Linked DNA regions of Caenorhabditis elegans. The protein of the gene in region 1 purifies or fractionates together with the protein of each later gene. This does not show direct contact. Each region holds a gene or a part of one and is shown in the gene's direction. Other genes may lie near its edges.

Region 1 (4,474 bases):
TCCAGCAAAAGCGGATGAACTTGTGGCTGCTGAAAAGCGAATGAAGGAGTTTTTGGAAAAGAAGAAGAATGCAAAACAGCGATTCCCTATTCCAAAAGCTGTCAATTCTTCAGGGAACTCAACTCGCTCCATTGTCATAGAGGAAACTAACACTGTCAAGACGGAACTAAATGCTCGAAAAGCAGCTGAAATCAACTTACAAATAACAAAACCTCCGATTTCAACGATACCAGTGGTTCAACCAAGTACACCTTCATCAACAAGAAAAATCTTGGTGTCAAATGTTAAATTGCCTGCCATTCTTCAAAGCAAAGATGAATATATTGCGAGTCAAAAGCTTATGCAAGATTTACGGGAGAAAACTCAGAATTTAGCAAAGCAGTTGTCAATTATATCAGCTCAAGCTTCGAGAAAATCTAGTGATGAAGTCATACACGGGAAAACCGGCGAAATGGAAAAACGGAGGCAAACCTATGGCACAATACCATCTCAAATAATTCCAACGTCTTCACAAATATCAAACACCAGTTCTAAAGTTAGTTCGCTCGTATCTCATGGCCGGACTAAATTGAAGAATACCACAACTACAAAGGTACGTGATTCAAAAGCTGCTCTAATTTGTACTTACTAGGAAATATATAAGATCGACGGGTAATCCAGTTGACCCAATGTTTTTTCAATTTAGCTTTTTTTTAATCGGAAATAAACTAAAATTTATGAAAACACTGAATTTTAACAATCTAAAAATAACGAAAATTCAGTAAAATTGTTTCTTTTTTCAGATTCCTTCCGGAGTAAATAAAAACGGTTTACATGCGAACACCTGCCGGGATCCAACTTTTCAACGTTCAAATCACAAGGCAAGAGATTTGAAACCAAGTGACGGGAAATGGCTAGAACGAAATATGGCACAGTTGTTTGGGCGATACGTGCCGCTGAAACAGTCTTCTCATAACTCAACGAGCGGAGTAGTAGAATGTTCAAATGAGGTGATAAAAATTTAGTATTTCATATTTTGATATAACTATTTTTATTTTTAGAAAAGCGATATTGCGCCGGTGGATGCCTGTACCAGTTCAAATCCGGAAACTGAAAAACCATCGGATGGTTCTGGATTTCGAATTATATCGATATTCGATCACTCTACTAAAACTATTCATTTTCCATTGTGAAGGGTTTTGGATATCATTACATCTGTTCCGGTTGTCATTTTCCATTTATTTTCCAAAATACGGTTATATTTTATGGGTTTCTCATGTCAGTGATAACTTGTTTCGTATATTATAACGAATGTTTGTTTGATTTTAAATACAAATCCCCTAAATCGGTTTATTGATTTTTTTAGATGTATATTTCAAACTTTTAGACCAAGAACACTGTGCTGTTATTTTTGCTATAAATCCTTGATTCCTAACATATTTATTTCTAAATTGATTATCATACCATTGGTGCAAAATTGGGCCATTTTGAATTTTTATATATTTCTATTTCTAATAGCATTTTTTTTTAAACTTATTACATCTTGTTTGGTTCCATTAAATATCTGTGAAACAAACACATGACCAACACCCTGTAAAAACAGTTTTGGCAGACAACACCAAAACAGTATGGAAATGTGAGAGACTGCGAGAAAGGGAGACAAGGTCCGCAGGTGTACGTAATATACGTTGTTTTCTACAGAACACTGCTTGAGACAGCTGAGTGCCTTTTCCGCTTGTATATTTTATCTATTCTTTTCGAATTACAATTTCAACTGTTTCTCATCAATTTTTAAATCCGAGAAATTAATTTTGCAGCTAGCTGGTTGGAACTTGGGATCCTTGATTCAAAACAAGAAACCTGTCTATCAAGTGCCGTTGTTTCGAACGTATGAGCAACTATGAATGAGAAGTTTGCATCTATTTACTCGGTTGGTAATTATCCCCTTGATAAACAGTAGCATAGTATTTACAGGGACTTGGCCAATATCACCATATGTCTATGTCACTGACCGAGGCAGAGGTTCCTAGTTGCAATCGTTTCCAATTTGGCAGAATATCTTCCTACTGCTCTGACATGTGGGAGTATTACAAACCGCAATCATTGGAAGCTCTGAATCCAACTTTCCCAAAAATAGGAACTTGCCCATCTTCAACTGTGTCAATGGCAGACAATTTGTCAGGGATTCTGGAATTGCACTCATCGTTTGATTTAACAAATACAACTTCTAAATCGGTGAGTGCTTATAACTGTACAGTAAGAACATCTTAGTACTAATATTAAAATTTGTTGATATTAGTTTAATGTTCTACAAAATACTCTTAAAATGTTTTAGGTTCCGAACACTCCTTTTGGCGAATATCCAACGATGATTTGGGAGGCTCCAAAGTTGTGCACATCAGATAATAATAATAACAACTCTTGCAAAAATGATCAACGTAATGAAGAAAAGGTTGATGATAAAACGAGGTCTTTAATTAAAAAACTATCGGTTGGTTGCATTTTGGTTTTGCTTTATTTTATTTTATAAAATTATTTTCAGAAAATTGCCAACTATGTGTTCGGACCTTTCTTCAAGTCTGCAATCACCAAAAATTCAAATTTTGCTATCAAACCACTGGAGATTAATGAACAACCAGATATAATCAATTGCAATTTTCCTGTTTCAAAATCTGCCGTGAGCAAAACGAATTTGAAAAATGTGAGTAATAATTACAAACAAAAAATGCATTTCGCTTCAAAATCCCATTTTCATCCAGCGGACTTGGAAATGAATCCAGCGGACTTGGAAATTTCTTTGATGAGAACTAACAACACAGAATCCAATCTCAAGAATACTGAGAAGATCGCAACTTCCATAAACGAAATGATGGATATGATCTCAGATGACAACTATATCCCAATGCTCCAGAATAATGTGGCGAAACACCAGAAGAGAAAAGTGGAGATATGTTCGTTAGATGATAACGTAGTGTATACTTCTAGAAAACTAACAAAAGAGCTTTTGAAATGCTCAAAAACTGAAAAACCTGACTATGAGCCATCATCTGCAAAAACTCCCCAGGGAAACTTCTTCAAAGGCGATTCCTCGGCAAAAATTGATTTGTTCAAAGGATCACATAAGTTCATCAAAGACGAACGTGCGGAAACTTGTCCTGATAAAACTGAGATAACGCCGGAAGAAGTGATTGGCTCTACTCAAAACTTGCACGAGAACAAAGCAATTAAAGATGTCAAAGTGCCAATCAACGCAAACAACTTGAAACAAAAAAATGTTAAGGAAATTCCAACGACAGTAGATGTTGGTCAGCTACCAATATTAGATTACAACTATTCAAATTCTTCAAGAACAATGAATGAAAACTTGTTCAGCCCAAAGGTGAGATATTACTGAAATTGGTAGTGATGAATATTTTTATTTCAGAAAGTGTTTGGCAAAAACGAGTATCAATATGGCCCGTCGATGGGTAAACTAATTGAAAGGATGGGAACCGGAACTCCAAAGAAAGTGGTCTCCGAGTATTCTTCATCTCCAATAGCTGCAATCTTTTCGCCAAAAAAGGATAGTCATGAATTTGCTGATTCAAATAAACTGCAGAAAACTACAAAACCTTCCATTTGTATGAAATTTGGAAACTGCGGTCGCCTTCCTGATTTGGAACCAAATAAGAAAAACTGGTTGAGACAAAACATGGCACAATTCGCTGGTCACCATGCGTCTGTTATTGATAGCACTAAAAGCTTTACCAAATTGAAGGAGGTAATTTCAAATAGTTACGCATAACTTTAACTTTTAATTGGTTTCAGATATACAATCTTCCGCGCACTACTGGCCACAGCAACTAATAACTTTGAAACTAAACTTCCTCCATATTGAATTGATCTTCATTTGTACAATTATAACACTTTTTAATTGAAATTAATTATTTAAACGCCACTTTGTGAATATCGTTTGATTTTTATTTGCCTTTTTTTATAATATTTAGTATATAATTTTTGGTATATTTTTCCTAGCAATTAACATTAACATTTAAAGTAAACATTTAAAAGACTGACTGTCGAGTGAAGAATTGCACAATGAATTTTTTGGTATTTTACTTCAAATTATTTCTGTGATCATCATCTTAAGCCCGATACTTTCTCACATTTTCGCAAATTTACCGCAAACCTTGCTATATAATAAAATTGTATGTACACACTGCTTTAATGTTCCAGATGGAAATTTTTTTAAATAATTTCATGAACAGTTTTTCAAGACATCTCTCGTTTTTCAATGGTTTACGCTTTATCTATACGAGATTCTTCTCAGAGTACTCCAAAACTGTTTAATCGATAGCGCACACCTTCTCTATTTCTCAGCTTCTCCAAGTGTCGTCAAATATGATGTTGCATATGTATGTGCATTTTTATTATCCTTGCAACGTCATTCGGAACACTGTTTTTCCTTTTGATTTCATTGATTTTTCAATTTAAAAAGCCACATTTTTTAACGACA
Region 2 (4,651 bases), on another chromosome or scaffold:
ATCACTGAAAAGTTAATTTTCACCAATATTCAATTTTTGAAGCCTTATGCGGCTCATTTGAAAATTTTCAATTTTCTGAACTTTTAATATTTTTACTTTTTCAGATAGCTGAGATAACCTTTCAATGAAAATCTAGCTTCAATATTTCAATTTAGCATGAATTTAAAAAATATAATTTAAAATTTGTACGATAAACAGGAACAAAAATTTTGAAAACTTGCGTTTTAAAAATTACTGAATGTTAATTTTTTAGATTTTTTTAAAATTCACTTTTTGAAGATACTTTTTTTTAATATTCGAAATTTGAGAAACATTTTTTGATATTTATTTTTGCTTAAAAAAACTGAATAAATTTCTACTTTTTCTCATAATTCACAAAATCTCAATCAATTTTATTTAATTTTATACTGGATAACGTTTTCACAAAAATTGTCAACAATCCAAAAATAAATTTTCCGGTTTCGCAACAATTATCTCTTCTATCTATCCTGATGACCAGTTCCTCCTGCTCTTTTTGAAAAACATTCACACAGCAACAACTGTTCTTTATCACCTTCCGTTGTTGATCACTTTACTGCTTCCACGGTGCCAACAATTTCACCACTCACTATTTTGAAATTTTTCGATTATAATTTTCACTGATCATTTGATTTTACATTTCGAAAACTTATGAAACTGTTTTGAAATTTATTTTAAATATTTTTTTTATTGAAAAAAAAATCAATCAAGATATATCACAATAAACTTTTTGATGGCCTAATGCCAAGTGGTATATGACATTTTATTAGTTACAATAATGAAACTGAAAATGTTTTTTCACTTGGTAACTTTTGCACAGTTTAACAAAATAAATTTACTGATTCAAAAATTAAATATTAACATTTTATATAGCGTAAACTTCATTTTTGAACTGAATGCTAAACTGAGCAAATCGACACTAACTTAAATATAGCGTATTTCATCCAATTTTTATTCTCTGTTTCAGACATGTATCAAGTAGTTATCTGATTACAAAAGTTTTTTGGCACACTGCTTTTTTTACACTGCTTTTTATTCTTTAACTAAATTTTAAAAATACGTTTATTGGTAATGTCACCGATGCGGGTGGATCCAATTTATTTAACTGCAAAATGTATCATTTTTGTATCAGTTTCGGTAGTTTATTAGTCCTATAAGTTTTTAGAAACATTTAAATTTTAAAAGTGACACCCAAAAATCATAAATCAACACTTTTCACAAAAAGAATGGAAAATGAGAAAGTTTTGAAACATTGATCAAATTTTAAAATGTATATATTTCCATTTCATTATAATTATTTTTCTAAAAGCTGCTATATAATATTATCAGAATAAAATCAATTTTTGCTTCTGTATTTATTGAATATTTTGAAAAATTGTTTTGATATGTTTCAGTATTTTCATATTTCAGATTTATTACAAGAAAATAAATATTCAAGTGCATGTAAGGAAACACGTACTACTCGCAAACTACAACTTTCATGAAACTGTGAAACATTAAAAAATTATAATCCTTTTTTTGCTCTTTCTTGTTATTTCTTCCAAATTTTCAGGGTTTCGCGTGTCAATGGAATCTAATTTAAAAAATTTCCAGACACCCCCTCAAAACTAATCCAGAAAAATGACAGAGGAGGAGGATCCATACGCACTTTCTTCATCGGAATCTGAAGATGAAGCCCCAAAAAAGCCAATCAAGATTGAGGGAAGAAGCGGTGATTTGAAGCAGTTGGTGAGTGAAATAACTGTCAGAAAATAAAGGAAGTTTGCATTATATATTATATATTATATATTAGATTCAGATAATTTGAGAGAAATTTTTATGAAGTAGTGAAACTGCAAGAATTTTAGTTTCGGTTTCAAATTAAGACCAAATTTTTAAAAATGTCTAAAATTTAATTGAAATTTTCAAGCACATTTTCATATAGCTGTAACTTTTCTTTTTTCAATTTTTCTCATTAGAGCGTTCTTGCCACACTATATACAAACTAGTCGTATTGGATAAAAGAACAGCACTTGAATTGGATAAATAGCGAAAAACGGCTGCTCTGTCAAGTGACCAAAAAACACAATGGGATCTAAAGATCTATTTAAACGTACTTGAAACGTTCCAAATTTGTACCCGGGAAGATGTTTATATTGGGATACTGTCAAAGAACAAACCAAAGAAAAGGAGAGGTGCGATCAAATTTGCATAAAAATCGTCGAAACTTAAAAAGACTTTGAAACGGTAAATTTTCCAAACTCATATTAGCAATATTCCAAATTTATCATGGGATTAGATAATTAAACAACTTTAAAACGCTGCATGAAACACGCTTTTTCAAGTAACAACAAATTTTTATTGGTTCTGTGAGTTATTAAATTTACATTTTTTAGACAAATTTGCTGTTAATTTTGTAAAACTGTTATCATTTCCAAGATAACTCCCTTCATTTCTAAAATTTTGATCTTTACTGTATCCGTGTAATTTGAAAAAAATCCCGTTTTAAAATTATCTAAAAATTCAACACAGGTATAATCTATGAATTTTCTAGATAATACGAGAAAAAAATTACCGTTTCATGAAATTATTTTTGTCGGAAAACAATGAGGTATTCATTATTCCATTTAAAGTTTATGTCACATGTTTCAATATATTTTCAAAAAGTTAAAAAAAATTAATTTCAAGTTCGTTGGACAAATTATAAGGAGACACTGTTTTTATTTAAAAAATGTATTTTTTAGAGAGAAGCGCTCAGCGACCAAACAGTAAGTTGGAAACCACAATCTCACAAATTTCTTCCCACTTCTTCAAAAAATGCTTTACCATCGCATTTTCCTATTAGTACTGCACCCCAATCCTCACATTTCAAAAAAAAAGGTCCCAAAGTAATGAAAAGCTTCTCAGCTTTTCCTATTTTTCTCCAATTTTACCGCACTTCTACAGCTTGTTTCATCACTTCTCCCACCTTTTCCAATCACGTTAACAGCTGCTTATGACACCCAATTTTCTAAAAAAAAAATAAATTGACAAAACAAATAAACCAATTATTTCAGAAATCGGCACTTTTCGAAAACAAGGGTCCCGTCAAAGATGAGGCACGAGAAGAGGAATTGGCAGCTTTGAAAGCCGGAAATCAGGAGTTGAAGAAAATGAAAAAGGTTCGTTCTATGCACTGACGTATTATAAACTGGTACTTAATATGGGCACAGTAAAACAGATAAACTTTTTCACCAAAATATTTTTTTCTGATTTATAAGAAATTCATCCAAATTTTTAAAGATGGTATGGATCGACGACGAAAGCACTTTTCCGTGTTTTGAACACGACTTATATAGAATAGTTGAAACATTGAATTTTTTTTCAAAAAAAAAACGCACTTCTCGAATTACATTAGTTGGTTACAAAGTAAAAGTGATTTTAAGCATTGTTTGGGAAGCGGGCGAAATATTAAAAAAAGATTTTTAACTGAAGTATGAAAACTAGTTGAAACATAACATTTTTTCTTAATTTAATTTTACCAATTGAGAAATTTCAAGAAAATCCAAGCAACCGTCTCGAAATATGACATTTCTCATATCTCGACTATCAATAAAAAGCAAAAAAAAAAAATCAATACTTCAGGACTTCGAAACCGGCGCCGTGCATAACATTGAAAACGAGGACGATGAAACCAAAATTGCTCGCCTTGAAGAACGTCAGAAGCTAACGGAAATTGGCCAGGAGAAATTCTCAAAGTTCAAGACAAAGTTTGAGAATATCGATTCGACGATGGATGAGGATTTAGAGCAGAAGCTGAAAAGAATGCAGAAGGAGCAAATTGGAGGAGTTGGAAAAGAGACTTTGGCTAGTGCCAAGGAGAGGTGCGGTTTTTATGTTTGTTACAATCGAAAATCTGACATTTAGGTCGCAAAACCTTTAAAAAAACAATCATAGCCTTGATTAAAAATCTTTTTTTTTTTCAAAATGTTTTCTAAATTTTTACTTTACAAATTTCCACTGTTTCAACATGATATTAAAAATTCGAATTTTTTTCAATTTACAATCTGAACACTTTTCGATTTTCCGACACTGCTTAAATGACCCCATTACTAAAACTTTTTGCTTATAAAAAAATAAATCGCAATTCTTACTAGAAATAAATAACTATTTTATAAAGTAACAAAACAATTATTTAAATTAATTTAAACTTTAAAAATTCCGCAGTTTTGTCAACTCCATAAATAGTAAAATTTGTAATATTGTTAATCCATGTTTTTTTTTTCGGAACCAAATCTCTATTTTCATTGCAAGATTACCGTGATCATGTCTCATAAAAATTGACTGAGAATGAGAAAAAATCAAATGATTTTTAAGGTTTTTGTTTCAAAAAGCAAACTTTAGACTATAAAAATGGTTTTTTAAACGTTTTTGCGAGATTATTTTCTTATTAAAAACAATTTGAATTTTTTGTAAATTTTTCACTGTTCTACAATGTTTATTTAACAAATTAGCCTGACCCGAAAGCGTTATCAATTTTTCGAACACATTTTTAAAAGCAAAGTTCAAAAAATACATATTTGGCCAGACGCAGATGAAAAGCTTTCTGAAAATTAAATTTAGAAGTATGAAAAAAAGATAACATTTATCGAAATTCTGCAACTTTTTTTTCAAA

Evidence for each region. Proteins that work in one complex are often made in the same cells at the same time.
Region 2: the proteins of F23D12.10 (region 1) and tag-273 purify together in Caenorhabditis elegans (affinity purification with mass spectrometry, with the first as the bait; one large-scale study listed by BioGRID). This does not show direct contact.

Annotation. Positions count from the first base shown.
Region 1 is NC_003284.9:14,413,062-14,417,535, reverse strand, and holds F23D12.10 (Protein kinase domain-containing protein), read left to right. Parts: upstream 1-1,794; 5' UTR 1,795-1,879; coding exon 1,880-1,909; intron 1,910-1,953; coding exon 1,954-2,214; intron 2,215-2,314; coding exon 2,315-2,470; intron 2,471-2,521; coding exon 2,522-3,358; intron 3,359-3,403; coding exon 3,404-3,739; intron 3,740-3,786; coding exon 3,787-3,825; 3' UTR 3,826-3,958; downstream 3,959-4,474. Other genes in the region: F23D12.2 (BRCA-2_OB1 domain-containing protein), read left to right, coding at 1-592, 783-989, 1,041-1,172.
Region 2 is NC_003282.8:14,502,127-14,506,777, reverse strand, and holds the start of tag-273 (LIM zinc-binding domain-containing protein), read left to right. Parts: upstream 1-1,638; coding exon 1,639-1,746; intron 1,747-1,785; exon of another isoform or gene 1,786-1,806; intron 1,807-1,913; exon of another isoform or gene 1,914-1,934; intron 1,935-2,177; exon of another isoform or gene 2,178-2,198; intron 2,199-2,263; exon of another isoform or gene 2,264-2,284; intron 2,285-2,616; exon of another isoform or gene 2,617-2,640; intron 2,641-2,685; exon of another isoform or gene 2,686-2,711; intron 2,712-2,741; coding exon 2,742-2,765; intron 2,766-3,053; coding exon 3,054-3,158; exon of another isoform or gene 3,159-3,172; intron 3,173-3,280; exon of another isoform or gene 3,281-3,304; intron 3,305-3,369; exon of another isoform or gene 3,370-3,390; intron 3,391-3,426; exon of another isoform or gene 3,427-3,447; intron 3,448-3,621; coding exon 3,622-3,860; intron 3,861-4,042; exon of another isoform or gene 4,043-4,063; intron 4,064-4,245; exon of another isoform or gene 4,246-4,266; intron 4,267-4,505; exon of another isoform or gene 4,506-4,527; intron 4,528-4,651.